Linked DNA regions of Rattus norvegicus. The protein of the gene in region 3 purifies or fractionates together with the protein of the main gene of each other region. This does not show direct contact. Links are inferred from orthologs where the notes say so. Each region holds a gene or a part of one and is shown on either strand. Other genes may lie near its edges. The genes, in order: Sdf2, Sdf2l1 and Dnajb11.

What was found.
Region 1: the proteins of Dnajb11 (region 3) and Sdf2 purify together in Homo sapiens (affinity purification with mass spectrometry; 3 studies listed by BioGRID and IntAct, counting the BioPlex papers as one, with this or other methods). This does not show direct contact. The link is inferred for Rattus norvegicus from reciprocal best matches to the Homo sapiens genes DNAJB11 and SDF2.
Region 2: the proteins of Dnajb11 (region 3) and Sdf2l1 purify together in Homo sapiens (affinity purification with mass spectrometry; 3 studies listed by BioGRID and IntAct, counting the BioPlex papers as one, with this or other methods). This does not show direct contact. The link is inferred for Rattus norvegicus from reciprocal best matches to the Homo sapiens genes DNAJB11 and SDF2L1.

The regions. Positions count from the first base shown.
Region 1 is NC_086028.1:63,634,471-63,644,169, forward strand, and holds the start of Sdf2 (stromal cell-derived factor 2 precursor), read left to right. Parts: upstream 1-4,163; 5' UTR 4,164-4,427; coding exon 4,428-4,602; intron 4,603-9,699.
Region 2 is NC_086029.1:97,372,331-97,382,224, forward strand, and holds Sdf2l1 (stromal cell-derived factor 2-like protein 1 precursor), read left to right. Parts: upstream 1-4,547; 5' UTR 4,548-4,601; coding exon 4,602-4,785; intron 4,786-5,115; coding exon 5,116-5,312; intron 5,313-6,161; coding exon 6,162-6,443; 3' UTR 6,444-6,790; downstream 6,791-9,894.
Region 3 is NC_086029.1:91,667,360-91,677,307, forward strand, and holds the start of Dnajb11 (dnaJ homolog subfamily B member 11 precursor), read right to left. Parts: upstream 5,442-9,948; 5' UTR 5,262-5,441; coding exon 5,194-5,261; intron 1-5,193. Other genes in the region: Tbccd1 (TBCC domain-containing protein 1), read left to right, coding at 5,757-5,812. UniProt on the Homo sapiens protein: As a co-chaperone for HSPA5 it is required for proper folding, trafficking or degradation of proteins.

The DNA.
Region 1 (9,699 bases), on a different chromosome or scaffold from region 3:
GACTTTTGTACTTAGTACTCACAGGCTTCAAATTAAAGATTGTGAGTTAAATCTGTATCTGGAATAGGCTTTGAAGAAGAACAGTGGCAGGCAGAGGGAGGTTTCTCCAGGAGAAGCCCGCTGCAGTATAATATGTGGCTCAGAGGGAAAGGGTGCTGGTTACCATGACAACTCTGCAAGAGTACTAGAGCTGGGATCAGATTGCCACAGGGGAGGACTCAGCAGTCCCTCCTTTCCAACCAGAACTAGTAGGAGGCAATTAAGAGGAGACCGGGCTGAAGAGAGAATTAGTCTGTTAACTCCTTTTGTTTTGAAGCTTCAAGGAATATTTAGATTGTGCTTGTTTGTTTTAGGGTCATACTCTGTTCTGGGTCTTGGTGCGTAAAACTGAATGTAGTATGTTTCCTCACTGGTGGAGTTCATAATTTTCATAAATTACATTATGGTAAAACACAAATGAGGGTGGATTATATCTCAGTGATAAGACAGGACATTTGTATACCATGCACAAAACTCTTTGAAACAAAATCCAGTAATTAGTGATGAGAACAATACGCTGACAGAAGGCCTGGACTTCAGAAAGGGATGCCTGAGTGAGCAGGCCTGGAGTACCTTCCCACTTCTGGGGTGCTTAATCAACTAAAGAAGGTGGGGGGGGGCAGGATTAAGGCAACATGAGCAAAACACTTAAGTTTATAGCCCATCTAGTCTGCTGTGGAGTTTAACACATTCTGCTACTGTGAACTAAGTTCAGGCTTATTTCAAAGGTACCAGTAAGTGACTATTCATTTGGAATGCAAAAACCTTAACGTCAAAAACAAAAGTCTCAGAACCTAGCTACATTTTAAAAAATTCTGATCTCAGAACTTCTTATGAAAAACCTAATTATAGGAAATTAAGGTATTTAAAATATAAGCTGGGGGCTGGTTAGATAGTTCAGCAGGCAGAAATGTTGGTCATGCAAGCCTGATGACCTCAATCAGACCCCCAAACACACAGAAAGGTAGAAGAGCTAACCCACAAAGCTATCCTTGGGCTTCCACATACAGGTGTGCTCACGCCTACAAAACAATCCACACTCTCTCTCTTAGGTATAGAACCCCAAGTCTCCAGCACTTGGCAAAACTTCAAGTTAGAAGCAAACATGGGCTACACACGGAGACCCTGTGGCAAACTAATAAGAGGACCATGAGATCTTCTAATAGAGAACTCAATCTGGTTTTGAAAAAGTGCATTCAAATAGACTTAGGCGGGAGCCAGGCATGATGGTACACACCTTTAATCCCTGGACTCAGGAGGCAGAGGCAGGCAGATGAAGGGGAGCCTCATCTACAGAGTGAGGAGTGATCAGCAGAGGGTAGGAACGACTGCTTGGAGAGACAGCTGGTTGAGGTGTGGAGTGCCTTCTACATAGCATGCATGACCTAGGCAGCAACAGAGGAAGTCAGTCTGACCAGAGAGAGGAAGGGGGATGTGAAGAAGGCTTAAGGATCTTCAAAGACTGTATGGGAATCTGAGTGGAAACTAAGGAGCTTGGATCCAGGACTTATGGGCAGTATCCTGCTAGGGTTCAGTATTGGTTTGATTAGTATGATTATATTTTTAACTTTAACCTTTGGGGAATGAAGAACTACCAGTATGCCTAAGAAGTAAGCAGCACAGTTTTGGAAAAAAGTTGATGCAAACCCCCCCTCTAGCCCCCCCCCCCCCCCCCCGCAAAGGCCAGGGAGATGACTCAGCCAGCAAAGTGACTGCCACACAAACTGCACACAGAAGGACTACATTAAAATGCAGTAATGTTTTTAAGACTAAAAAGGAGGCGTTAGCTCAGTAGAGAAAAATCCAAGGACAGAGCATTAGCAACTGTACTGACTATTCCAGAGACTCAGAAATGAAAACAGAGTTTCCATTGGATTTGGCAACATAGTAGCTTCTGGTGACCATATCAACTTTGATGAGCAGTTAGAAGGGGAGTCAGATTGGTTTTAACTTAAGCTTCGGTGAAAGTTAAGAAAGTTGAACTGGTTTATAAGCTGAAACCTGACTATAGGATGAGAATTTAAAAATTAGGGTGATGGAGCTAGGCTTAGTAGTAGCACATGTTAATCCTTCTAGCACTGGGCAGGCTGAGGGCAGAGTGACCAAGAGTCCTAGGTCAGCCTATGTGTCAAGAAAGATGATGGCTGGAGTGGCCTTTGAAAGATATTAGGACATAATTTTGTTTTTGAGTTCTTTGAAACAGGTTTTGGTGACTTGAATTGGGAAATCACTGGAAGGAAGTCAGTGGTCATACCCAACCAAGACCGTGGTTGGTGACATTTATTAGGACCAAGAATACTGCTGGATGGTGGTGGCACAAGCCTTTAGTCCCCAGTTCTCAGGAAGCAGAGGCAGGCAGATCTCTGTGAGTACAAGGACAACTAGGAAGAGTGCTCCTGTCTTCAGAAACAAAAAAGAACTGGAGAGGGTAATATAAACTTTGACCGAATGTCAGGACTGTTCTACTTTATGGTGAGATTAATCACGTGGTAAGAGTAAGTGCATTTGGAGAGTATGGATACTTTGCCAATCTAATCTGATCTAATAGCCACACATGCCAACCAAATAAAATAAGGTGGTAGTAGTGGTGGGACACTAGGCATGGAGAGGAGCTCTAAATTCATGGTTGAGGAGAGAGCTGTTTTTCTTTGAGACAGGGTCTCAAACACAGCCAAAACTTCAATTCCATGATCCTCCTGGCTCAGCTTCTCAATTGTTGCTATAATTGTTTTGTAATTAAAAACACTGAAGATTTAAAAACTGTCAAGTTCAGTGTTCAACAATGGAACTGAACTTTCCCTCCCCAAAATTAATTAAATTCAACAAATTCCCCACAATGTAGCATCTTTCACTGCTGGGGAGGGGGCCAGGCTCCTTCCCTTCCTGCAGATTTACAGGCAGTTAACGGTTGCTAGGGGGGAGGGGCTCATCACGAGATCCCACCAATCCTAAGGATTTACAGTAATTCATTGTTGCTGGGGGGAGGGGAACATTTTCTTTAGGGTTGTAGTCCAGGCTTCTCTGAGTAATTCTTCACCAATGTACTTGTAAATAACCATAATTTAGCTAATGGAGGCATACACACATAATGAACGCAATGGAGGATTGTGAAGAAGGGGGTCAGCGGGAATGGAGCGGGGTGGAGGAGGAAAAAACAAATTACCCTATAACTTTTGATATTACGGTGACATTTCATGTAATTATTATAGGAAACCTGCCTCCTAAAGGAAAACAGGCGTCAATTTTTTCTGTAACACAGGGAAACTGCTTTACTTAGATATTTTGAACGCCTGATGTCAAGCAAGAATACACATTTCTGATTTAACAACCAATTCTAATATTTATGGTAGGTCTTTGGAAAGTGTTCGAGGAAATGAATTATGCAGGATGGAAGGCTCCAGGTACTTAAGTATAAACTCGCATCTTTTGAAAGTATTAAGGGACTTGCCCATCCGTGGGGGGTAAAAAGTTCAATTACTCAACAGTTTTAAAAGAGCTAACATTCAGCACAGTACACCGGCCTCATGGCTGAACCATAGTAAGCCCGGCAGGATCCAACGCCCGGACTAATTAATCCGATCACCTGATGCCAAGTAAAGAAACCCTTAGGTCTCTTCTAGTCCAATTTTTTTTTTTTTTTTTTTTTTTTTTTTTGGCGTGGCCCAGATTCCTGACGCCGCGGAGAAGATGGGATCCCAGAAAGCCTGTTGATTCAAGAGGCAACCCCAGGTCACAGGTTCCGGGTGGTACCGCGTGGAGAAAGGGCTGGAAACTCTGAGTAATCACGGCACTTTAATGTCCTTTTTTCCCCGGCAGATCAGGGAAGGCCAGGGCCCCCTTCCTTTCCGCAGTGAGCACCCCAAAGCCTCTTCCCTTATGGGACCAGGCCCCAGGAGTCTGCTCGCCACCTGCGCACACACACACGCAACACACTCTTCAGGCTGAGCTTTACCTGCTTGGAAGGCCGCTGTTTCTCCGCTGCGCTAAGCCCCCGCGGAAGAAAATGGAGTCGCCGATCCGAGACTGCAAAAGGGTAGCCCGGACCCACCGCAAGGGCCCTCCGCAGCCGCCGCCACCACCACCGTCGCCGCTGCTGCGTTAACGTCCTACGTCACCTCCGGCTCCCTGTCACTAGGAGTGGGAGGGTCATTTCCTGATCTTTTTCTCTCCGGTGTCTAGGGCTTTGGTTCCGAGTCCGCGAACGCAGACTGAAGACACATAAGGAACGCAGCTGCCACAGAGCACCCAGAACAAAGCGGGGCCAGCGTGTTCCTTAAGCCGCTCTAGCCAAAGGAACCATAAAGATTCAGGTTAAGGAGTCTTCACTTCCATCTTGGCGTAGTTCTGCCCTTGGCTTCCGGTTCCGGGGAAGGGCCTAATTTTCTTGGATGATTAGGGCTCTCGGATCTAGGATGGCTGTCTTGTCGCTTCTGTTGTTGGGTGGTTTGTGGAGCGCTGTGGGAGCGTCCAACATGGCTGTCGTTACTTGCGGCTCCGTGGTGAAGCTACTCAATATACGCCACAATGTCCGACTGCACTCTCACGACGTGCGCTACGGGTCAGGTACAGAGGGGGACCAACCGGGGTTGGGTGGGCTGCTTGGGCCCGGTGAGCCTAGAAGGGGCGGGGCCTCTGGCTCTGAGGGCGTGGTCTTGGAAAGTTGAAGAGGAGGAGGCGTTGCCAAGGAAACTTAGTCCTAATATTAATTTCTGTTTGATGAGCTGATGAGCTATGTGCCAAACGTGTTACATATTTACTTTCCAGTTTTTAACATTGTATTGAGGATAGATACTAAGGTTACTTTCTTAGGTGAATAAACAGACTCAGAGATATTACTCAGCCGTCAGCTAATGAATGATGGAGGCAGGGTTTAATCCAAGTCTGTCCAGGTTCAAACCTTTCAGATTCCATGGGCTGCCACTATTCTGTGCTGGAGAGGAACATTTAGAGCAGGACAACACACGCTGAATCTCAGATTTTAAACTTGAAGAGCTCACTCTGATTACAGCCCTTTGACACATTTTTTTAAATTACTTAGCAGTAACTTCCTTGTAAAAAATGTAAGCGTTGACAGGCATTGCAGAGGAAAGTGCTTTTTATCGTGTGCAATTAAAATTCTCAGTTATTTGGGGGCTCATTCATTTGGCCTAGATTTAAAGAGCTCTTTTATTTACCTAGTATTGTTCTAGACACAGGAAATACAGTAGTGAGTCAAACAATAAAACAAGACTAATGGGCAGGCGTGGTGGCCTAGATCTGTAACCATAGCATTCTGAAGTCTGAAGCAGGAGGATCAGGATCATGACTTCAAGATCAGCCTGGCCTATATAGTAGGGGCTGTCTCAAAACAACAACAAAAGAAGTTCAAAGGCTGGGTGTTAAGAGTATGCCAAGCATACTGAAAGGCCCCAGCTTCTGCCTCCACATTTTGTGGGAATAAAAGTAATGAAGTTCTTGAGGTGTACTCAAGATAACTTGAATGACTGATGATCCTATTTGCTAGAAAGGAAGTCACCTTCTAAGATGGTTGCTTAGTCTGTGTTCGCAACTCTCAAAACCTGTCCTTCCAGTTTAGTCCAGGGAGTGTATAGTCTTTATATTCCTAGCCACCTCATTCAGTAAACACCTACATGTGTCAGGCTTACTACATTTTAATTTAATGTTTCCTGCTTTGGGTCCACCAAGTTAAAATGGCGTTAGAGAGAAGTCTACCAGACTTCAAACCTCTACAGGTGGTCCCTAGGGGTGGGCCATTGTTCATTCTGAACCTTAGGAGAAGAATCTGTGATACAGAGTTAGATACAATATTCTTTTAAAAATTTGGCTTGTTTGTTTGTGGCTAGAGACAGTCTCTCTAGCCCTGGCTGTCCTAGGCTTGGAACTCAATATGTGATCTGACCGACCTTGAATGCACAGAGGTCCTACCTCTGCCTCCCAAATGCTACAATGAAAGGCTTTAATTTTTTTTTTAATAGCATTTATCTTGTGTGTGTGTGTGTGTATTTAGATGCATGGTTGCCACAGTACAAATGTGGAGATCAGAGAAGAACATTGTTCTGTCCTTGTCATGTGAGTCCTAGGGATTGAACTAAGATTAGCTGAGCCATGTTATAGCCCAGATACAATTTTCTTGTTTAGAAAATGGTTGAAGATACATGAGTAGATCAGATTGCTCAGCATGAGCTATATGGTTCTCAATCTGAAAACTAACAGTTAATGTTTCTTAAATTACTATATCTGGATCTCCAAGTATTTAGGAACAGATCAAAGGCCAAATAGAATTCTGGACATTCCTAGGTATCAGGAGGTCTCTGGAGGAAGTAGAGGATTGAAAAAGTAAAAGGGCTGGGGAGATGGCTCAGAGGTCAAGAGCACTGTGCTTCCAGAGGTCCTGAGTTCAAATCCCACCAACCACATGGTGACTCACAACCATCTGTAATGGGATCCGATGCCCTCTTCTGGTGTGTCTAAAGACAGCTACAGTGTACAGTGTACTTACATATAATAAATAAATAAATTTTAAAAAAGAAAAGAAAGTGAAAAATCAAAGAGACAATCAAAATATAGAAAACAGTGCTGGAGAGGTGGCTCAGTGGTTAAGAGTACTTCCATAGGTCCTGAGTTCAATTCCCAGCAACCTCATGGGGCTTCACAACCATCAGTAATGGGATTCGATGCCCTCTTCTGGTGTGTCTGAAGACAGCTACAGTATACTCATATACATAAAATTAATAAATATATCATTAAAAAAAGTATTTGATGCTCTTGCAAAGAATCCATGTTCCAGTCCCAGCATCCACATGGTGGTTATCTAACTCTAATTCCAAGGGATCTGACTCCTTCTGACCTGTGGGCACAAGAATGCATCTGGTGTTCAGACAGGCAAAATACATAAAAAGATGAATAAGTCTAATAAAAATAGTTTCTTCCGGGCAGTGGTGGCTCATGCCTTTAATCTCAGCACTGGGAAGGCAGAGGAAGGCAAATCTCTGAGTTCCAAGCCAGCCAGGCTACATAGAGAAACCCTGTCTTGAAAAAAAACAAATAACAACAAAATGTTTCTTTAAATGTATAGAACAGGACTGAATTCTGATGGAGCTGAAAGGCGATAAGAAGTGGGAAGAGCTGAACCAGGTGCCATAAAAGCAGATGGAGCTCCATGAGTTCTAGGCCAGCCTAGTTAGTCTACATAGGAAATTCCAGGCCTGCCAAGGCTACCCAGGTCAGACCCCGTCTCAAAATATAAAATTAAAAAACAAACAAACAAACAAACAAACCAACCAGAGTTTAAAAGATGTAACAATGACATGGGTTGAATGGAATAAGCCTGGGAAAGGGACTGATTGCTTGGTCCGTTTATCAGATCATTAGTTCAAAGCCTGAGGTTTTGTTATTTGGTGAAGTCAGGCAGGGCATTGGAAGTGAAAGGCCATCTAGGAGGGAAAGTATCTCTGGAGTAAGTAGACTGTAAGAATTTGACAGAAAATAGAATGGAGAAGACGCCCTTTGGACATGATGTGTTAGAAGAGGAAATGCTCTAGAGTCAGGTTACCTGCCTCAGGCTTAGCCCAGTCATAGCTCCATGACTTTGGGTATATTACTCACCCTTTCTAACACTCCAGTATAAAGTAGGGACAGTAACAGTAGCTATCTGGGAATAAAATGCCTTCGTTATGGAGAATGAATATTTAAGTAGGGCAGGAGAGCTTTAGTCTTACTATTCAGGAGACAGAAAGAGACAGGATCTCTGAGGTCAGCAGCTCTACCTAGTGAATTTCAGGCAAGCCAGTGCTACACAGTGAGACACTGTCTCAACAAACAAAAATCTATCTTAGCAGCTGGGCTGTGGTGGTCCATTCCTTTAGGAGGCAGAAGATCTCTTTGAGTTCCAGGCCAGCCTAGCAGAGCAACTTCCAGGACAGCCAGGGCTAGGGAAACCCTGTCTCAAAAAAACAAACAAACGGGGTTGGGGATTTAGCTCAGTGGTAGAGCGCTTGCCTAACAAGCGCAAGGCCCTGGGTTCGGTCCCCAGCTCCGAAAAAAAGGAAAAAAAAAACAAAAAAAATAAAAATAAATAAACCAAATCATTTAAATGAAGAACTTGGATTAGCCCTCTTGGGGGGATGGTTTTGTACACCATATATTCAGATGCTAATTTCCATGCCCAGACATCTGGTTGCAGTCCTCCAGTTTCAATGTTATGTAAAAATTGTTTTCCATCACCTCTGATTGGTTAATAGAGAGCTGGTTCAGCCAATAACTGGGCAGAAAAAAGAGAGAAGGCAGGACTTCCTATCCCAGTCAAGGGGTCCCAAAGAGGAGTGGGGGGGGGGGGAGCAGAAGGTATGAAGAGACCACAAGGAGGGACCAGGAAGAGTGGCCATGAGAACGCTCTTGGAGCAGAGTGAGCCTGAGTAAGACTTGGATCACAGGTGAAAGACCACAAGGCTGGGAAGTAGCTAAGTTAGCATAGTAGAATAGATGACATTCTGCCTAGTTAAAGGCTTGCAGTCTTTTAATAAATTTATTAGGATCCATGTCATTTATTCAGGAACTAAAAAGGACTAGAGTGGATGAAGAAACACCTGTCCTTATTTGGGAGCAAGAGGGGCAGAGCAAATCCGCTGATTACTTTTACATAGCCCCATACCTGGTGACAGTGCGTTTTCCTTTAAGAGCTACGGCTACACATTTTACTAAGTGTTTTCACCATGAAGAGTTATATAATCTTAGTATGGCTACAAATTCATGTGATCTAAGAATATTTTATTCCTGGCTTTTTGAGACAAGGTTTTACTATACAGTCCTAACTGGCATAAAACTTGCCAGAGGACAGCTTGGGACATGCTGGCGGTCTCCTGCTACCTCGGATCTTCAGGATTGAACTCAAGTATAACATCAAATACCTTTAACCTCTCAGCCAAGTCATTGTCTCTTTTTATGCTTTAACATTTTTTTAATTAATTTAGATTTGTGTATGCACTAGGCGTGGTGACACACACCTTTAGCCCCAGCTCTCAGGAGGTAGAGGTAGGCAGATCTCTTAAGTTCAAGGCCAGCAGCCTGGTCTACATATGAAGCTCTAGGAGCTGGGACTACATAGAGAGACCCTGTTTTTAAAAAAGAAAATTTGTATCTGTGTGTGTATGTGCATGTACTCTTGTTTTTTCAAGATGATTTCTTTGTGTTAGTGAGCGAGTCCTGGCTGTCCTGGAGCTCACAGACATCTGTCTGCCTCTGCCTCCCTGTGCCACCATGCCTGACTCCCTTTACACTCTTTACCTGGTTTATGGAACTCCATGTTTGGTTGTTAGGCTAGTGTGGCTAGTAACTTTTTCCCACTAAGCCATCTCCCTGGCCTACCTCTGTGTTTTGGGGCACAATCTGTCGCAGACACCTGGGGCCCATCAGTGTGGCTACGCTGGCTGGTTAGTGAGCTAAAGGCTGGCTTGTGCTGCCTTCCCAGTGCTGGGATGACAAGAGCAGTCCACAATGCCCATCTTTTTTTATGTGGGTTCTGAAGGTGGAGCTTAAGTAATCAGGCCTGGTAACCAGAAAACAACTTGCAGGAGTCATTCTCTTTTCCTGTGTGGCTCTGGGGATGAATTTAGGCTGGGGCCGAGGTAGCCAGCCTTGGATATCTCACTAGTCCTTCACACA
Region 2 (9,894 bases), about 5.7 Mb from region 3:
GACCTTCTACTGCGCTAAGTGGGGGTGTGAGACTTACACTCGAGGATGATGGGGGACCAAGAAGGGGGACTTAGTGGCCTTCTCCCCTGAGACTCCAGGGGAATCTCGAATTACAATAGAATTCACGGATCAAGGTAAAAACACAGACTGGAAGGTGGGGCATAGGTGGGGGATACAGTTGTATACCCCTGGCCAAACTAACCCAGGACTCCTGTTCTCCCTCTGTGAAGAGAAGGGGTCAGACAAGAGATTGGTCCAAACCCAGTCCTCATGGATCAAAAGCCCCCTTCCTGACCAGCACCGGCACTGCCCCCGGTCGGACCCCCACTATGGCTAAACACCACTCAGAACTCCGGGGATATCTTGACAACTCCCTCCCTGACTAGGGACCCTTCCACACCGGCCCCTCGGCTGCTAGGAACGGGAGACCAGCTAATCAACTTAGTGACTGGGGCATACTTGGCACTCAATTATTCAGAACCTGACAAGACCCAAGAATGCTGGCTGTGCCTGGTCTCTAGCCCGCCCTATTATGAGGGTGTGGCAGTCATGGGGAATTATACTAATCAGACCACGGCTCCGGCCAGCTGCACAACCCTCCCTAGCCATAGGGTGACGTTGCCGGAAGTCTCAGGACAGGGACTCTGTATAGGGACCATACCCCCCACTCACCAGGTCCTCTGCGCTATCACCAAGAGGATCCCCACTGGAAGCTACTACCTAGCAGCTCCTACAGGCACCTATTGGGCCTGTAACACTGGATTGACACCTTGTATCTCCGCCGCAATCCTCCGCAGATCCTCAGACTACTGTGTACTGGTAGAAATTTGGCCTAAGGTCACCTACCATGGGCCCGAGTACATATACTCACATTTTGAGGGGCTGACTCGATTCAGGCGAGAACCAATCACCATGACCCTAGCTCTACTCTTAGGAGGAATCACCTTAGGAGGAATGGCTGCAGGTATAGGGACGGGGACCACCGCCCTCATCGAGACGGGTCACTTTCGTCAGCTACAAGCAGCCATGAATGCAGATCTAAAAGCTATCGAGGAATCCGTGAGTGCATTAGAAAAGTCCTTAACATCTTGGTCTGAAGTAGTCTTACAAATTAGGAGAGGGCTAGACATGCTGTTCCTTCGCAAAGGAGGGCTATGTGCTGCTCTAAAAGAAGAATGTTGTTTCTATGCAGACCATACAGGATTAGTGAGAGATAAATAACATGGCTAAGCTCCGAGATCGCTTGGCCCAGAGACAGAAGCTGTTTGATTCCCAACAAGGCTGGTTCGAGAGGTGGTTTAACTGATCCCTTTGGTTTGCTACCCTGGTGTCCACCTTGATGGGACCCTTAATCATCCTCCTCCTAATCCTCCTCTTTGGCCCCTGCATTCTAAACAGATTGATGCAGTTCATAAAGAACAGACTCTCAGTCATTCAGATGCTTGTTCTCACCCAACAATACCAGAGGGTAAGACAACAGGAAGAGATTCCTTAGAATTCGATTTGAGTAAAGGATTTTACTCAAGTCTAAAAGAAAATGGGGGAAAATGAAAGACCCACCCCATGAGTCTTAACTCAGAGCTGCAACAGGCTTGAACGAGCCCAGGCACGCCCAGATACCTAGGGCCGAGTCACCGTTAAAACTAACAGACCATAAAAGGAAAGGAATACAGAACAGACTAGGAGTACCGGATCTGGCAGGAAGGGATAAGCCCCTAGCCCCCGACATTCAGGACGTCCCAGCCCGCACATACTCTTTTACCATGTTACAACCTCATTCGAATATGATTCAAACCTGCCAATGTGTGTAGCTATACCTTATTACCTCATCATGTGAAATAACCAATCATATGTGAACATGTCTATATGCCTCGTTTAAATCCACCAATCCCCGTAACTATGCATCTGCTTCTGTACGCCCGCTTCTGCTTCCCCAAACCCTATAAAAGGCCCATGCTGGAGCTGCTGGGCGCGCAAGTCCTCCGAAGAGACTGTGTGCCCGCAGGTACCTGTGTTTTCCAATAAACCCTCTTGCTGATTGCATCTGAGTGGCCTCGGCTTGGTCATTGGGCGCTTGGGGTCTCCTCCTGAGGGAAAGGTCCTCTCCGGAGGTCTTTCACCAGTCTGAGCTCAAACAGGGAGTATGAGGCTCTTGAATATGAACCTGAAGAGAGACGCTCAGCTGAGGGACCACCTCACATCATGGGCCTGTGGAATTTTCCTGATTCCTAATGGATGTAGGAGGGACCAGCCCTGGGCAGGTAGTCCTGGGTTGTATAAGAAAGCTGACCAGGCTGGGCTGGAGAGATGGCTCAGTGGTTAAGAGCACTGACTGCTCCTCCAGAGGTCCTGCATTTCAAAGAATAAAGATTTTTAAACTATCCCCCACTACCCCTGCTGTGAGGGCCAGTGCACCTCACAAAAGAATAACATCACATGTTATGGGGAAGTAGCCTAGCCGTAGACCACCTGGCCTCAATAAGGCCTGACTTACCAGTCCTGAGGAAAAAGAGTTGGGGTCAGCTTGCCCCAGAAGCAGGGTGGCCTGGAGTTGGACTGAGCCCAAGCTAGATCATGTGCTCCAATGTAAACAAACCAGTGAAATTGCTTTGCTTTGTGTAACTGTTGCCAACTACCTATGTAATTTTCCCTATAAATACTTTCCCCAAATTGGGCTCCGGGTCGACTCCTCTGTCTCCTGTGTGAGATAGGTGTCGTCCCCAGAGCTCTGGTTCCTCAAATACACCTCTTGTTCATTACATCAAGACCGATTTCTCGTGAGTTCTTGGGGGTTGTGTCATCTCAAGATTTGAGTGGGGGGTCTTCCCCACCCCGCTGGTCTTTCAAGGTCAAATCCCAGAAACCACGTGGTGGCTCACAACCATCTGTAATGGGATCTGATGCCCTCTTCTAGTGTGTCTGAAGACAGCTACAGTGTACTCATATGTAATAAATAAATAAATGATTTTTTAAAAAAAGAAAGAAAGCTGACTGGGCATATAGTGGTAAATGGAGGAATATCTTTAGTTCTAGTACTTGGGAAGCTGAGGCAGGCAGATTTTTGTGAGTTCTACAGAGTGAGTTCCAGAACAGCTGGGGCGGCATAGTGTATCTTTGTTTCAAAGACAAACAAACAAACGAAACCAAAAACCCCAACAAAGCAACAGTGAACCAAGAAAGCTAACTGAAACCTGATGTGGGGATTCGCCCTCAGGAGACAGAGGCAGGAAGATCTTTGGGTTCAAGGCCAGCCTAGTCTACAGAGCAAGTTCCAGGACAACCATAGCTGGGACCCTGAGAGAAAACAGAGAGAAACCCTATCTTGAAAAATACATAAATAAAACAAAGATCTGAGCACACGAAGAAGCGGGCAAGCTGTAAGTGGCCCTTCCTCCATGCTTGAGTGTTTTACAACAGCCACAGAAAGCAGGTGGTTTCTAGGCAGGTGTACTTACAGAGAGATTTCCTGTGAGTCTGGGGTGGCCTTCGTGAAAGGCTGTCTTTCTGGCTGAGCCTTCTGTAAGTTACTCTTGTCAGACATACCTGCACAAGGACCCCCTCCTTCTCAGCCTCATACCTAACACATTAGTTTGGGTTAAAGCCTTGACAAATGATTCTATTTTGATTCTAACAATTCTGACACAGCTTACTTAGAAACCTGAGATCTGCCTGTCACCCTTCCAGAGAGGATGACCTCAGACTTGAACTTCCTGCCTCTACTACTTGAGGGTTGACTTGCTAATGATCAAACCCAGGGATTTGCACTTACTGGACAAGCACTCAGTCAGCTGAGCTACATCTGCAGCTGAAACATAAACTTTAGTGGGTAACTAGTGGCCTAAGTACATATCATCAGCTTCTTAGTAATGTAGCCTGGAGGGGCAGTTCCTTTGTGAATACCTAACATCTAGGTGGCTGGCTGGCTGGCTAGAGAAAGATAGACAGATAGATAGATAGGGAGTGAATGTGGGTAAGTACGTGTATGTAGTAAGTATGTATGTGTATGTATGTATGTATGTATGTATGTATGTATGTATGTATGAGGGCTCACAGTTATCTTATCCAGCAACCTTAGGATTCTGCCACTAAATGACTCAAGAAGCTGCTTGGCTAAGAGAATTCAGAAAGCATGGAGCCAGGAGATTTTAAATAACTTTGTTATTTGTCCACTTTGAGACCACAAAATCTCGTGATTCACACAGAGTCTGTAGCTTTACCCAGGGTTCTGAGAGGAGGGACACGCGACTCAAGTGTAGGGGTCCAGGGTCAAAGGGGTTCCCGTACCTACTACACCCGAGAATCTCTAACGGGGACTAGAGGCAACCAACCTCTGGGGGACGGTCGCCTCAGCCACTGCTTTATTGGCAGGTCCTTGGAAGCGTGGACCAGTTAAAATCCTCCTGCTGTCTCCGGCCCCCTCCCAGCTACCGCCTTGGAAGCTGGGGGTGGGGCTGCTGCACATGATCCAATAGTAGTGCAGGAGGAACGCGCGCGCGCAGACGATTGGCTGCCGAGGGAGGGCGCTGTCAACGCCGGATTGGCTGCTGTTGAGGACGGAAGCGCCGAGGTCCAAAGCAACTGGAACCCGGCCGGCCGGCACGATGTTGGGCGCGAGCCGCGGGTTAGCGGGTCTGACGCTGCTGGGGCTGCTGCTGGCGCTCTCGGTGCGGAGCGGTGGCGCGTCGAAGGCCAGCGCCGGGCTAGTGACCTGCGGGTCAGTGCTGAAGCTACTCAACACCCACCACAGAGTGCGGCTGCACTCACATGACATCAAATACGGATCCGGTGCGCAGGGGTGGTGACTGGGACCGCCAGGGGGCGGAGGCTTAAAGATCAGGTGGTTCTAGCGGGGTCTGTGGGTTGTTAGGGAGCCGAGGGGTTGCGAGTCTAGACGGGCTTTTGGGTCTTGACAGAGAAGCCGCGGGGAGTGAGGTTGCGCGCGCGCGCGCGGTGTGGGGGGTATCCACCACTTAGGGTCCGGCCTGGGGTAGGGTGAGCCCTTCGGATCCTGGAGTGGTAAGGGGCTGTGGGGAAAACTTTTTAGTGTTCAAGTCGAGGGTCTGGAGGTTTGTGATTAACTAGAAACTACGGGTGGGGTGGGCTGTCCCTCTTCAGGCAGCGGCCAACAGTCGGTAACCGGCGTGGAGGCGTCCGACGATGCCAATAGTTACTGGCGGATTCGCGGCGGCTCCGAGGGTGGGTGCCCGCGCGGGCTCCCAGTGCGCTGTGGGCAGGCAGTGCGGCTCACGCACGTGCTCACCGGCAAGAACCTGCACACGCACCACTTCCCGTCACCGCTATCCAACAACCAGGCAAGCCCTGTTCCGAACCCCTCCAAAGCTGCGCAGGGCAGGGACTCAAATGACAGCGGGAGGGAGGTGTGCCGGAGAGATGTAGGGGGAGGGATTCAGTCTCAGCTACTGTGAATTGGGAGTTCATATACGGAAGTTTATAGAGCTTCTGCTCTGGGTCCTGTCCCAAGGAACTTCCCCTACCGAGTTAGGAGAAGCATTGAGAGAAGTCAGTGCGATGAGTTCCTATTTGGACATGTAGGGGGACCCACACAGCAAAGAATAGGAAACTGCAGGAAGGAGAAACTCAGGTTGGGTCTGAAAGAGAAGTGAGAGCTTATCCCTACTCCTGCTAAAACATAGGCCCCATTGCAGCTGGTCTGGTAGGGTTATGGGGAGAACCTGACAGTGCTTTGGGGGAGTTTCAGGGGGAAATATTGGAGATAGGGAACTTGGCCATTAGCCTGGGAACTTGGGTATAAGGCCAGTGGGCACTACACGACTGATACAAGAGGCTCTATGCATCTGAAGAACCTACCATGGGGTGGGAATCTTTTTTTTTTTTTTTTTTTTTTTGAGAACAGATTTCTCTATGTAGCCCTGGCTGTCCTAGAATGCACTATGTAGACCAGGTTGGCCTTAAACACCCAGAGATCTGCCTGCCTATACCTCCTGAGTGCTCTGCTTAAAGGCATTTGCCACCACACCTGGCTAGGGCAGGACTCTTGGCTTCCATTTGCTCAGCTGTGGGTGCTGAATGTCAGAGAAAGGACCAGAGGCCCAGGATACTAGGTGCACATATTACAGCTAGACATGCAGCTCAGGGGAGTCTGTTCCCTGTGTGTGACTTTCTATACCTTACACTCTCAGGAGGTGAGTGCTTTTGGGGAAGACGGTGAGGGTGATGACCTGGACCTGTGGACAGTACGATGTTCTGGGCAACACTGGGAGCGAGAGGCCAGTGTCCGTTTCCAGCATGTTGGCACCTCTGTGTTCCTGTCAGTTACTGGTGAACAGTATGGTAACCCAATCCGTGGGCAGCATGAGGTGCATGGCATGCCTAGTGCCAATGCACACAACACGTGGAAGGCCATGGAAGGAATCTTCATCAAGCCCGGAGCAGATCCCTCCACAGGTCACGATGAACTCTGAGCCGGATGGGAAGGGAGGGTGGCTGAGTGGGAATCCGCAGGGCTGCTCTTGTGTAAGACTCTGTAGGGGCCCTCAAGTGCCTTTCTGATTAAAGAATGTTGGTTTGTGATTATTTTTGCTGTACCCTGGGGAGGACCTGAGGGTGCTAGTCATATCTGTCCACATCATCATCTCACATGTCTCAAGTACCTGTTCAAATAATTTTTGAGACCGTCCCACTATGTATCCCTGGCTGGCCTGGAACTCCCAGAGATCCACTTGCCTCTGCCTCCTGAGCGCTGGTATTAAAGGTGTATACGACCACAGCTGGCCCCAACCTGTTCAATAAACTAATTTTTATTACAGTGTGAGTGCATGAGATGTGTGTATGTTGCTACCTGTACCTCAGTGATGCGTGGAGGTCAGAAAACAACTCTGTCGCTTCTCACCTCCTACCTTCATGTTGGCTCCAGAGATCAAACTCAGCCTGCCAGCATTACACAGCACACACTAGCTGCTGAGCCATCTCACTGGTTCCAAACCTTTTTGGGATACCTGTCCGTGCATTAAAATATTGCCCTGAACTGTGATCTCACCTGTCTACCCTACAGAGTCCTTGTAGCAATCAACCTCATTTCCAGGACTTGATCTTAGGCAACGTTTCTATTGGACGGGCTTGGCTGCAGGGCCCTGACAACTGGGATGGGGCTCAAGCTCTCCAGTTCCCTCATCTCCTGCTCTCAGGAGCCCATTCTTCTGGTGGTTGTGGCAGTTTTGAAACTTTTCTTTCACTAAAGGCCAGTTGAGGATTCTGCCTATCTAGTGGAAATTAATACCTCAGGCTCCCAGACTTCCTTACCCTGACCTGCCCCAGGTGCATTATTAAGCCCCCACTAGGACCTCCCAAGGCCCTAAGGAAAGAGGAGAGCTAGGAGAGATGACTCGGTGGTGATGAGCACAGACTGCACTTTCAGAGGACTATCAACTACAACCTGTAACTCCAGGAGGGATTGTTCAGATCTCTTATTCCTGCACATGTGTACACAAACCTAGAGGGACACGTGTAATTTTAAAAGAGTAAGAAAGGACATCTCAAGGGAAGACAACCTCCCCCTTCTGAACAAACAACAACAACAAAACCAATCTAGGTGGTTAAGGTTGTATAATTTAAAGACAAGACCAGAGGACTAGGGGATTGAGTTGTGGAACAGTTGGTAATTGGTATGTTTGAAGCTATAGAGAGCATTTTCTAGCATGTACAAGGCACAGGGCCCATTTCCAACACTAAAATTGGGTAAAATAATGCACATAATGTATATAGTTTAAATAAGCTGACACCAACAGAAGGGCCCACGCCAAGTAAGCTGACAGCTCTGTAGTGGTGCGTGTGTGGCCTCTAGAGGTGGTGGAAGAAATGACAGACTGCCTGGGCTTGGCTGAGCAGGTCATAAGGACTTCAGGGAACTAGTAGAATGATTATTAGTACTAGTAGTTAGTGGTTGATTTCCTGAGGGCCAGAAACTCCTAAGAGGCTGGGCCGACAGTTGGAGGAGGGACTTGGGATAGTGTGAGAAGAACAGAGATCACATGGACTTGGGAAATCAGTTGACTATTAATGAGTGGGTGAGAGAAAAGCTGCAGTTAATTTGAATCCTGAGGGGAGGGAGTTATGCCTTGGACCATCACTCCCCTATTCCTAACAGACCTGGTCTTTCCACTGACAAACTTATATTTTTGAGACAGATCTTACCATGTGACTCTGGCTGGTCTGAAACTCACTATATAGACCTGGCATAGTGAACTCATAGAGATCCACCCTCTGCCTCCCAGGTACTGGGATAAAAGATGTGTATCTCTGTGCCTGGATGTATTGCCAAACTTTTAAATGTTTATTAAATTGTGTGTGTGTGTGTGTGTGTGTGTGTGTGTGTGTGTGTGAGAGAGAGAGAGAGAGAGAGAGAGAGAGAGAGAACATGCACACAAATGTGGTGTCCTCAGATGTAAGAAAGGGGTGTTGGATCTCCAGGAGCTGGGATTGCAGATGACTGTGAGCTATCTAGTATGGGTGCTAAAAAAATTTTAAAGATTTATTTATTGTATGTGAGTGTACTGTTGCTCTCTGAGGACACACCAGAAAGGGCATCAGATCCCAGATGGCTGCGAGCCACCATGTGGCTGCTGGGATTTAAACTCAGGACCTCTGGAAGAGCAGTCAGTGCTTTTAACCACTGAGCCATCTCTCCAGCCCCATTTCAATTCAATTTTAACAGCTCTGCAAGAGCAGTACTCGATTTTGACAGCCATGCAATTGATCTCTCCAGCCCTCAAACTCTTGAGCTTCACGTAGAAATCTGCAATCCTCTCCTCTGAGAGGATTTACATGGAAGTGGATGATTAGGAGGGGATTTCAGTAAACAATGTGTAGAGCTGTGGGGCTGATTGAGGGGAAGCTGCATTGTGGGAAGGGTCCACCCTATCACTCAGTCTTATTGGGGGAAGTCTCACTAAAGTCATACCATCTGAAAGGAATGGAAGCCAGGATAGGCACCCAGCGAACATCTCTCATTGGCTGAGGGATGCTGGCTGGGTTCTGTAGTATTTCTTACTCCATGTATTGGATAAGGGTTCCAGCAGCCAGAATCACAAGTGGGCTGTTCTCTCTGCAGAAGAGCCAAGAGGGTTTGGGTGGGGCACTCCAGCCTCGATATATGCTGTCCATGCAAGGGGGTATTGCTATGGTCCACCCAGGAAAGCAGCGAGGCATTAGAATGTGGATTAAGGAAAGAAGTCAAGTGCACAGCAGGTAGGAGTCCTGGGTATCCAATAAGATTTTGGAGCAGGAAAGTTGCTTCCATGAAGAATATAGAATACGACAAACCAAGATCCGAGGAGCAGCAGCTGGACACTTTAATTTTACATTTGATTTTTATCTTTATGTGTATGGGTGTTTTGCCTGCCCATATGTCTGTGCATGCAATGGCTTTAAGAGACCAGAAGAGCAAGTCAGAACTTCTGGAACTGGAGTTACAGATGCTTGTGAGACAACATGTGGATGCTGACATGGGACCTGAGTCCTCTGGTAGAGCAGCCCACCCTGTAAACACTGAGCCTTCTTTCTGGTGAGGCCCCTCTCCTTAAACACAGTATTTCATGTAACTCAGGCTGGTCTTTTCCCCACTTCCTGAATGCTGGGATTTCTGTGTGTTTTGTATCTGTGTGGAAAGGTACAGTGTGGTGGCTGCATCCCCAGCACTACAAAGACCCAGGAGGATTACCACAAGCACAAGACTAGCCTGGTCTACTCAGTGAGTTCCTGGCTAACCAGTGGTATATAATGTCTCAAAAAAACAGTGCTCTGAGGGACCGAGAAATGACCGGTCAGTGTTAAGAGCATTGGTTGCTCTACCAGAGGACACGGGTTTCATTTTCAGCATGCATGTGCTTCCTTACAATCCTCTGTAGTCCCAGTTCC
Region 3 (9,948 bases):
CCTGCATCCCTAAAGAAAATGACTCCCCCCTCAACCCGGCAACCATTAACTATCAACAACTCTTCCCTTGGCAAGGAAGACGTGAATCTTTTTTTTTTTTAATTCATGTGTTTGTCCTAGCTATCTCTCTAGCTCCCTATTACATTAAGAGAAATTGCGTGTGTGTGTGTGTGTGTGTGTGTGTGTGTGTGTGCGCGCGCGCGCGCACCTGTGTACCACATGCAGATGCCTGTAGAAGCAGAAAAGAACCTTGGAAGTTGTGAGCTGCCTGATGTGGGTGCCGGAACTGAATGGAGTCCTCTGTAAGAACACACGTGCTCTTAACAGCTGAATTATCATCTCCCAGGGTGCATTACATTATCTCCCTTTGCAGTTAAGTCCAACTATAAAAGCACGGAAGGATAAAGACAAAGGAATATGTGACATGTGCACATATATAAAACAATGAACAAAAAAGGGACACGCCAGGATTTATAGTCTTAGGTACAGAAATAATCATAACGGGACTATGATTTGGAGGTAATTCAAAAATATGTACAGGACGGGCGGCACTCTTCTTTTAGAATTACCTTCCGCAGAGAAACTTTTCCTTTGCTTTATAGCTCCATGCTATTTCCAGCTAACAACCAAACAGTCCAATTGGCTCCCTCTTTACTCCCTATTCTTGCTCCAAATACTTTTTTAAAAGAGAATTTATTTTATTTTTAATTATGAGCTCATGTGTGGGTGTGAGTGCAGGTCCCTCGGTGTCAGTTAAAGCTGGCTCCCTGGATGTGTAGTTACAGGTGGCTGTGAGTCACCGCGTGGGTGCTGGGGTCCTCCACTAAGAGCAGCAAGAGCCCTTACCTGCTGAGCCTTCTCTCCAGCCCCACCCCAGTGACTTTTACCTGTTTCTAAGGGTCAAATGATTAAAAAAGAAAGTTATCCTTATTCACAAAGATTACATCACATACATGTCCTAAATAGAAGCACTTTTGGACATTAAAGATGGACTGGCCTAAGGAGTTCATAAAGATTAAGCAAACTCCAAATAATAAACCTGAAGGGAAAATAGCACACATCTGGATGCAATGATTATGGTATATGCTGGGAGAAAAATACATTTTATGCATTCATTGCCAGTAACTATGCTAATCTGTTAGGATCAAGTCTTTATGACAGACATCTTCTAAAGTCCACACGCAGGAGCCTCTGTATCACTGTAGTTGAGAATATTCATATGATATAAATTAGGGCATAAAATAAGGGAATATTGCCAGGAGCTATGCTGAATCAACCATAAAAGGGTTCTTTCTCTGCAAGAAGTGTTGGGAGAAAGCTAGAGTGAGACTATAAAAAGCATTCCAGGCAAGGGCCGTACCCAGCTCATTGAAGAGGCCAGTAAATGCCCTCTGAGTAAGGTGAACATATAAGAATGCTCACATCTCTTTTTGCCAGAAGTTCAACCACTAGAATTCAAACCTAAAACTAGAATAGAACCTAAAAATATTATCTCAACAATGGGGCTAGGGAACTCATATAATAGAGGCTGACATAGCATGGCGGATAATTTAAAAATGTATGGGGAAATGAACCGGGAGCCAAGACATAAGGCAGAATATTAAAAAATACATTTTATGGCTGGCACGTGGCTCAGTGACAGTGCCTGCTTTAAATCCATGAAGTCCTGGATTCCTGATGTCGCATGCCTATAATTCCAGCACTCAGAAGGTTGGGGTTATTTCATAAACTCCTGGTCACACTTTCCAACAGTAATTTAGTTATTTTAATCACTCTGTTAGGTTTCTGGGTTGGTTTTCTTAGACAGGTCCTCATGTAGCTCAGACTGGCCTTGAACTCACTATGTATCTGAAGTTTGTTTTGAACTCCTGATCTTCCCGCCTCTACCTCTCAAATGCTGAATTTACAGACATATAAAGTCATATTCAGCTCACCTATACACAAGTTTTTGTTTTTTCCAATACAGGGTTTTTCTGTTGTCCCGCCTGTCCTGGAATTCACTCTGTAGACTAGGCTGGCCTCAAACTAGAGATCTGCCTGCCTCAGCCTCCCACGTGCTGGGTCCCAGCTCAACTACAGCATTTTTAACATTTATCACCCCCAGGAAGTCGACCTCATCTCTAAAGTCTTGACATCTCATGCTAGGAATCAGCCTTCTAATGACAAAAACGGCTAACAACACAGAGTGAGGCTCACACAACACTCCAATTCTGGAGAGGAGTGGGTTACACGAAACTAAGGATGTTAAAAGAATCCAATTAAAGGAGAGCCACTACTTTTCAAGCTGATTCAAAACCTACATAAAACCCCCCACCCCCACCCCCACCCCACCCCCACCCCAAGGTTCCTATTTCTCTTACAGGGGAGCTGAATCCAGCTTTCAGCACGCATGGTGACTTGCATGCAATTGAAACTCCAGATCCAGGGAAGTTAACACCCTTTCTTGCTTCCATGGGCACCTGCACTTACAGGTCCATGCCCACACATATGCATACAAACATATACACACAAACATATATACATACACATACACATGTACTTAAAAATAAAATCTTAGAGCGAGACAGATGGAGAGACAAGCAGAGACAAAGGATTCTGAACACAGGTACCTCGCATGAGTGGATGCTTCCCTTAGAATACATAGATTCTATGCACATATAATGCAAAAATCTCAGTGCCAGGGGTGGGAAACCTCCCTATGAGTTACTGTAAGTCAGGGAGGCTCCCAAAACAACAGAGGCCATTGTCATTGCTCCCCCCTCGCCAGTTTTCACAGTGCTAGAAGGCGTTATGCAGGCTGCTTGTTGAGAAAAGTCCCCAATGCTGACTAAGTGGGCAAGATGCACCTCTGGTACAACAGAGGCAGAAAGGTTATGGGGTTAACCTACTGCTTTTTGATTGGATTTAAGACCTGCTCCACAGGAGTAAATTTAAATCTAATAATATAAAACTGTCTGGAAGTCCTGGCCTGGGGGACCACAGGCCCTGGGGGAGAGGGAACTAACTGCTGTTGTTTCGTTAAGTAGACATGTTATCAAACTGCCTTGGAAATATTCAGATTATATTCATAGATTATATGACTATATATGGAAATATATAGGACTGTAACATAAGTATGCCATATATATATATATATATATATATATATATATATATATATATATATATGTTGTTATATTCATGCCATTCTCAATCTTGCACAGAGAGGCAGTAGTTCCTCTACAGGGGCAGTAGTTAATGCATCAGAATAACTGTTCAAAAAGCATGGAGAATGTAAATGAGTATTGAGAGATCAGTCTCAAAACAAGTATTTCAACCTTCCACCCCTCTCCCACACTCCCCAAGGTTCAGGGGAAGGAGGAACAGAAAGAATGTGAAGGCAGAGGATGGGGAAGAGTGTTGTGAAATTCTGTCTTCTGCAAATGGTACTCATGAATTCACTCAAGTTATGATTACCTGAACAAGACCTTCGAGAGAGCAAGCCAACACAATTAGTCACCATGCCAGCGGGCAGCACTGATTAACTGGACTCACACTTGCATGAAGTTAGAAAGGGAACATATTGGGGTGTGCCCAGAGCAAGCATTTTGGGGGGGGTTATATATGTATGTGTATGAGAACAAGTAAAAGATTTAAGAGGGAATAGGTTAAATGACAGCTCAGAAAAATACAAGAGAAAAGGGGAGGGGGTGTGTGACACAGTTCAGTGTCAACATCATTCTCCCCAGAGGCTGCTTTATGAATGACTGACGTTTAAAGCTATAGTATCAAAAATACTAGCATTTGCCAGGCATGGTCATTCATGCCTGCAATCCTAACACTTGGGAAGTGAAGGCTGAAGGATCATGAAGGAGTTCAAGGTGATCTTTAGCTACATATTGAGTTGGAGACCAGCACACCTCAACTCCCAACCGCAAAATTTTACCTTGATGTTTTATTAAATACCTTGGGTACTTGTGGTTCAGTCAAACAAGGAAAAAAAAACAACAAAGCATATGTAAGAAATGTTAACTTTTTAGAAATTTAAAGTATACCACAAGGAAATAATGATAACATTTAAAAGAAAAAAAAGAAAAACCCCATAAAGAAAGCAACTTTAAAAGCTATGCTAAGCATTGTGAACAACCTATAAATTGTCAAAAGCTGACATCTACGAGCTTTTGGTGTGTTTTATTTCTGTGGTTACTTATTTATTTGAGAGGGGGTGTGACATAGGCCAGGCAAGCCTGGAGCTCACTCGGTAGTTGAAAATGATCTGGGGTTCTGATCCACCGGTTTTCATGCGCCCAAAGCAGGGACTAACGGTGCAGGTCACACACAAGTCCAATATACCATATCCTAAGTCATCAGAACTACTGGGTCTTGCATTTTTTTTTTTTTTTTGGTTCTTTTTTTCGGAGCTGGGGATTGAACCCAGGGCCTTGCGCTTCCTAGGCAAGCGCCCTACCACTGAGCTAAATCCCCAACCCCGGGTCTTTTATGCTGGGAGAAACTCTAAGCCTGCTCTTTCTCCCTGAAGGTTATCACACTGTTATCCCCGATTTCAGAAAATTGATAAAGTTCCGTCATGCTTGTAGGACTCATAACAGCGGCATGAGGCTAGAACCCTAGTTTTTATTGACTGTTAAGAGAACTGTTCTTCTCACTCATACCATCCAGCTCAAGAAGGAACCATGAAGAGAGACAGCGAGGCAAGAAGACAGTTCAGATTCGCTAGCCCAAGAAGGTTGCGAGTACGAAGACTCTCTAAAGTGTTATGTTGCTCTCTCAGGCCAGCTTTCCTCAATCTAAGCTCGGCTTCCTTACTTTAGTGTCTGCCTCTCAGATGCTTGTCGCAAACTGTCCCACTCTGGAATTCGGGCATCAAGGACGCATCCATCATTTCAACCTCAGCTTGGCACTCACTACCTTCATTTCCATCAAGAGTCCCATTCCTCAGTCGTCGGTGTCCCTACTACTGCTCACAGCCACTTAACTCCCTCTAATTCCCAAACGTGGTATTTGGCTCTGCAACCAACTCCCGTTCTTCTCGGGGGCGGGGAAACCTGGCCCTGGACGGCCATCCTGACCCACACTACCCCTCGGTCCCTCGGCCCCGCAGTGCTCCTCCCTCACGCCTCGATGTCACCCGTGTCACTATCAGCAAAGGCTGCCCCCTCGGTCCCCGTGCCGCGCGGGAGGCCCCCTGCTCACCCGGCGATCACAGCCCCAATGAGGTACAGCAGCAACAGGCAGAAGGTGCTCAGGTTCTGCGGGGCCATGGTGTCCCCTGGTCCCACCCTCTCAGCCTCCCGTGCCGCTGCGTCGGCTGACCAGCCTTTCCAGCCCAAGGAGGCCGCCTCACGCCCGGGTCTCTCTCTTGCCTGGCCGCGGAGACAGGTAGTGCGCCCCTTCCTCAGCTGCCACTTTCCGGGAGCCCCAAAGCCGGCGAGCAGCCAGGCGTGGGCCAATCGCCGCCTGGGACATCACACGAGGCCGCCACGCCGCAGCCAATCAGAGCGATACACTTCACCTCCGAGGCGGCGCGGGCAGCCAGTCAGACAACGGAACTGCAGCCGGGGGGCCGCCGGCCAATGGGAAAGTGAAACGTCAGAGGTTCGCGCCGCCCGGAAGTGCCTTAGAACCGGAGAGAGGAGCGGAGAAAGAGCGCGCTGCTGTAGGAAACCGGAATGTCCACCAATCACGAGGTTCCTTCCCGATTCCGACCAATTGCTTGAGAGAGATCCTTACGTGGTTACCAGTCTGGAAACTACGCCATGTGCACACGTGACGCGCGCTTGCTTTCGGAGGTGCAACCCCAGGAGGTGTCAAAGTACGTGGGGCGTCTTGCATAGAGATAGGCTCTCACAGTACAAACTTATTATAGTCTCGATATTGTAGAAAAGAGGTCTGGTACCTTGTAGAGACGCCGCCGTGGAGACCGACTTAAGTTCAGATTCAGCTTCCAGCACTCCGTAGCGGTGAGGCAACCCCATCCCCATCCCACTTTCGAACCTATTTTCGGCAAAACTAAGGCAAAGCGTTCGCTGGCAGTGTTGGGAATTAATTGAATTATTTTTTTTCTGTTAGTTTCCTAGCAGAGTTGCACACAGTAAGCATGTAATCAATAAAAGGCATTATTATTGTTAGGAGTAGAGCTTGTTCATTGGTTGTTCTTTTCTCCAGTTTTGTTTATCTCCGAAAACTAGTTTCGGAAAGCCTCTCTGCTCAGCTTTACCTCCTGCATAACCTATTCAGATCTTTACCAGTGAACCGTACGGGGTGCACATCCACTATAGTTCCACCCGAGTCATAGTTATCTCTTGCTCGCAAAGGTCGTATAACCGATCTTTCTGCCGCCAAACTTCATATCTCCATACAGTATTTTAAAATTCTGCTCTCCACCCTATGATTGTGTGCACGCGTGAGCACACCAGGGAACCCGGAGATCACAGATTACTAGGCTGGTGGACGAGAGAGCTCAAAATCTTGTCTCCGTCTCTTCAGGACATTGTTGTCGCAGTTGCTATACGGGGTTGGGGGGGGGGTATTCAAGAATCCTTGCTTGTATGGCATGTAAGTGGCAAGCTTCATGGACTGAACTGTCCCCAGCGTCCGCTCACTTTTTTAAAAATTATGTCAAATCATGCCATTCTGCTTAAAAGCTTTAGTGGCTCTTCATTGCACTCAAAGTAAAACGCTAGCTAACTTTATGGTAATTTACAAGGTTGTCTAATTTAATGGTATATGTCCTCACATATTAAATATCTTAGCATGTTCCAGAAAAATCAACTCTCTTCCTTTTAAAACTTTCTTATTGTGTATATTCACTGTATATGGTACTTTCTTGTGCAAGCAAACTGAATAATGCATATATTATGCCCTCTCATCCTTTCCACTCTGTTCTGTTACTCTTTTTGTTTCTCTAGGCAGTTTGGCTTTGCCATATACACACATATGACTTTACCTATATAAAATCTAGGAACCACAAATGAGATAAAACATGTATGTGTTTCTTTGAGACTGGCTTAATTCCCTTTATTCTGTTGCCGTTGAACTCCTAGGTTAATCCTGTAATGTAGCTATTGTGAGTAGTACTGGAACAAACATTGATGTTTTGCCAAAAACCCTTTTCTAATTAAAAAGAAAAAGAAGGTTTATTTTGGAATGCATGCCTGTTGCTCAAGGAGGCCAGAAGAGGGTGGTGAATCCCTTGGAACTGCAGATGGACATGAGCAGCCATGTGGGTGTTAGGAATCAGATCCAGATCCACTAGAAGAACAGTAAATGTTCTTAACCTCTGAGTCTGGCTTACAAGTGTTGTATTGAGAATTTTTACATCCATGTTCATTAGGGAGATAGGTCTCTAACTGTCTTTTCTTTGCTGTGTCTTTGGTACTAGTAGTAGACCAAAACTGACTTCATTTTCAAGAAGTTATTTAATGGAATACTTTGAAAAATAGTGCTGTTTTTCCTAAAGGTGGATTTTTGCAGTGATTTTATCTGGGCTATTTGGGCTTGTCTTAGTCACTGTTCTCTTGCTGTGAAGAGACACCATGACCAAGGCAACTCTTATTTTTAAAAAACCTTCAATTGGGGTTCACTCACAATGTCAGAGGCTTAATTCATTATGTTATGGCCAGGAGCATGGTGGCAGGCAGGCAGGCACTCAGCTGTAGCTGAGAGACACACCCTGGGGGAGAGAGAGAGAGAGAGAGAGAGAGAGAGAGAGAGAGAGAGAGAGAGAGAGAGAGAAACAGACAGACAGACAGACAGACAGACACAGACAGACTGAGGCATGGAGGGACAGAGACACACAGAGCACACACCTAGAGCTATTTGTCATGGCCTTTTGAAGCCTCAAAGCCCACCCCCCTGTGACACTTTTCCCCCGACTACCTACTCCAACAAGGACACAATCCTTTCAAATCCTACTCCTTTCAAAGAGTTCCACTCCCTAGTGACTATGCATTCAAATATCTGAGCCTTTAGGGGCCATTCTTCAAACCGACTCTGGGCTCCTTGTAGTTGTGAGGCTTTTGTGGTTGCTTTGAGTTAGTTTTACTGCTTCGGTACTGATGCTTGTTACACAGTTGTTTATATTCTTTATCTCTTTGTGGTCCTGAAGGAATTATCCATTTCTCTTAAGCTTTCCTGAAGATGTGAATTCCGTTGATATCTTGTGATGGTTCCTTTTTTCGTCACTCACTGATTTTGTTGATTTAGGGCTTCTCTCTGGGTTGGATAAGGGTTTGTTGATCCCGTCATCTCATGGAGTCTCCATAGGTTTTCATTTCAGTTTTATTCATGTCTATGCCCCCTTCAGTTTCCTGTTTACTTTGTGTGTGGGCACACGCCTGCACCACGGTGTGCATTTGGAGGTCAGAGGACAACTTGCTGCTGTCATCCTCCTTCCAGCCTGTCAATCCTGAGTATGGAGTTAGGTGGCCAGGCCTGGTGGCAAGTGGTGCCGAGCTTTTGTACTAGATTCATTTCTGTTGCTGTAGTAAACATAACCTAAAGGGAGGAAGAAATACAGGGGGGTGAAGGGTTTCATTTGTCCTTCAGTTCTAGGTTAGGTAAAAAGTCGTGTCATTGTTGAAATGTGTCAAAGGTTTGAGGCAGCTGGTCATACCTCATTCAGTCAGGAGCAGAAACAGAAGTGCCCATGTTGCCTACTTGCTCACAATTCTGCTAGCTTTCTCTCCTTGTACACAGGGCAGAGCCCAGACCGGGGAATGGGCCAGTTAATAATCAAGGCAGTCTTCCTCATTCATGGCCACAGGACCAACCTGATCTAGGTAATTCCTCAATCGAGACTATTTCAGATGACTCTGGGCTTGGCTAGTTGACCGCTAAAAATAGACCATTGCAGTCATCTTGCCACCGTGATCTTGTTTGGTGTCTTACTTTCCACCCACTTACTTGAGGTTTTTCCAAAACCCTAAAGTGAGTTTTAAAATATTTGTGATGTCTCTGTTTTTTTTAAAATACAGGTAGGCACTTTACTTGTAGAACCCATTTATTTCCTGGTTACAGGGAGATGCTCAGCGGGAGAAAAGTGCTTACCATGCAAACCTAAGGACCTGAGTTCAATTCTTGAAACCCTCATTAAAAAGCTAGACGTTGGTGCCTCACATCTGTGATCTTAGCATTTCTACTTCAAGGTGGGAGGCAGAGAAAGGGGATCTGGCAAAATCTTGAAGGCCAGCTAGTCTGTAGCACAAAACAAAGAGACAAACAACAGGAGAGGGTTGGTAAAATGGCTCAGGTGGTATGCTATCAAGTCTGGCTACCTGAGGTCAATTTTTGACCCCCCAAATGGTGGAAAGAGAGAACTGACTCTTGTCCTTGGCTTCTACATGCACCTCACGACCTGTGCATACACAACACACACACACAAACTAAGTGTAAATTAAAATCTTTGAAAGAGTAAGAGAGACTGTGCTCTCATCTCCCGCCTTGCCTTCATTATGTGTTAGGCATTGGTATGTTGTGGTTATCTTATTCTAGTCTATTGATTTAAAGATTGTCAGGTTTATTATTTTAAAGTTATGTGTGCATGTGTGTGTCTTTGTATATGAACGTGTGAATACAGGGGTTCTCAGAGTTCAGAAGAGGCTGTGAGATCTCGTGGAGCTAGAATTACAGTTGGTTGTAAGCCACCCACATGGGTGCTGGGAACCAGACGTTGGTGCTCTGCAAGAGCAGTGTATGCTCTTGACAGCTGAGCCATAGCTCCTAGACTGTCCTCTCCCCGTTGTTGTTCAGTGTCCATGAGTTAGTGTGTGTGTGTTCTGTAGCTCCTCTTGAGTTTCTAGTTTTATCTCTTGGTGACAGATTACACACATGAGATTATTTCAGTTTTCCTGGATTTGTTAAGGCTTACTTTGTGTGCTGTTATGTGCTGTATCTTAGATGTTCTGTGAGATGTTGAGAAGACTGTGGGATGCTTGTAGATATCTGGTA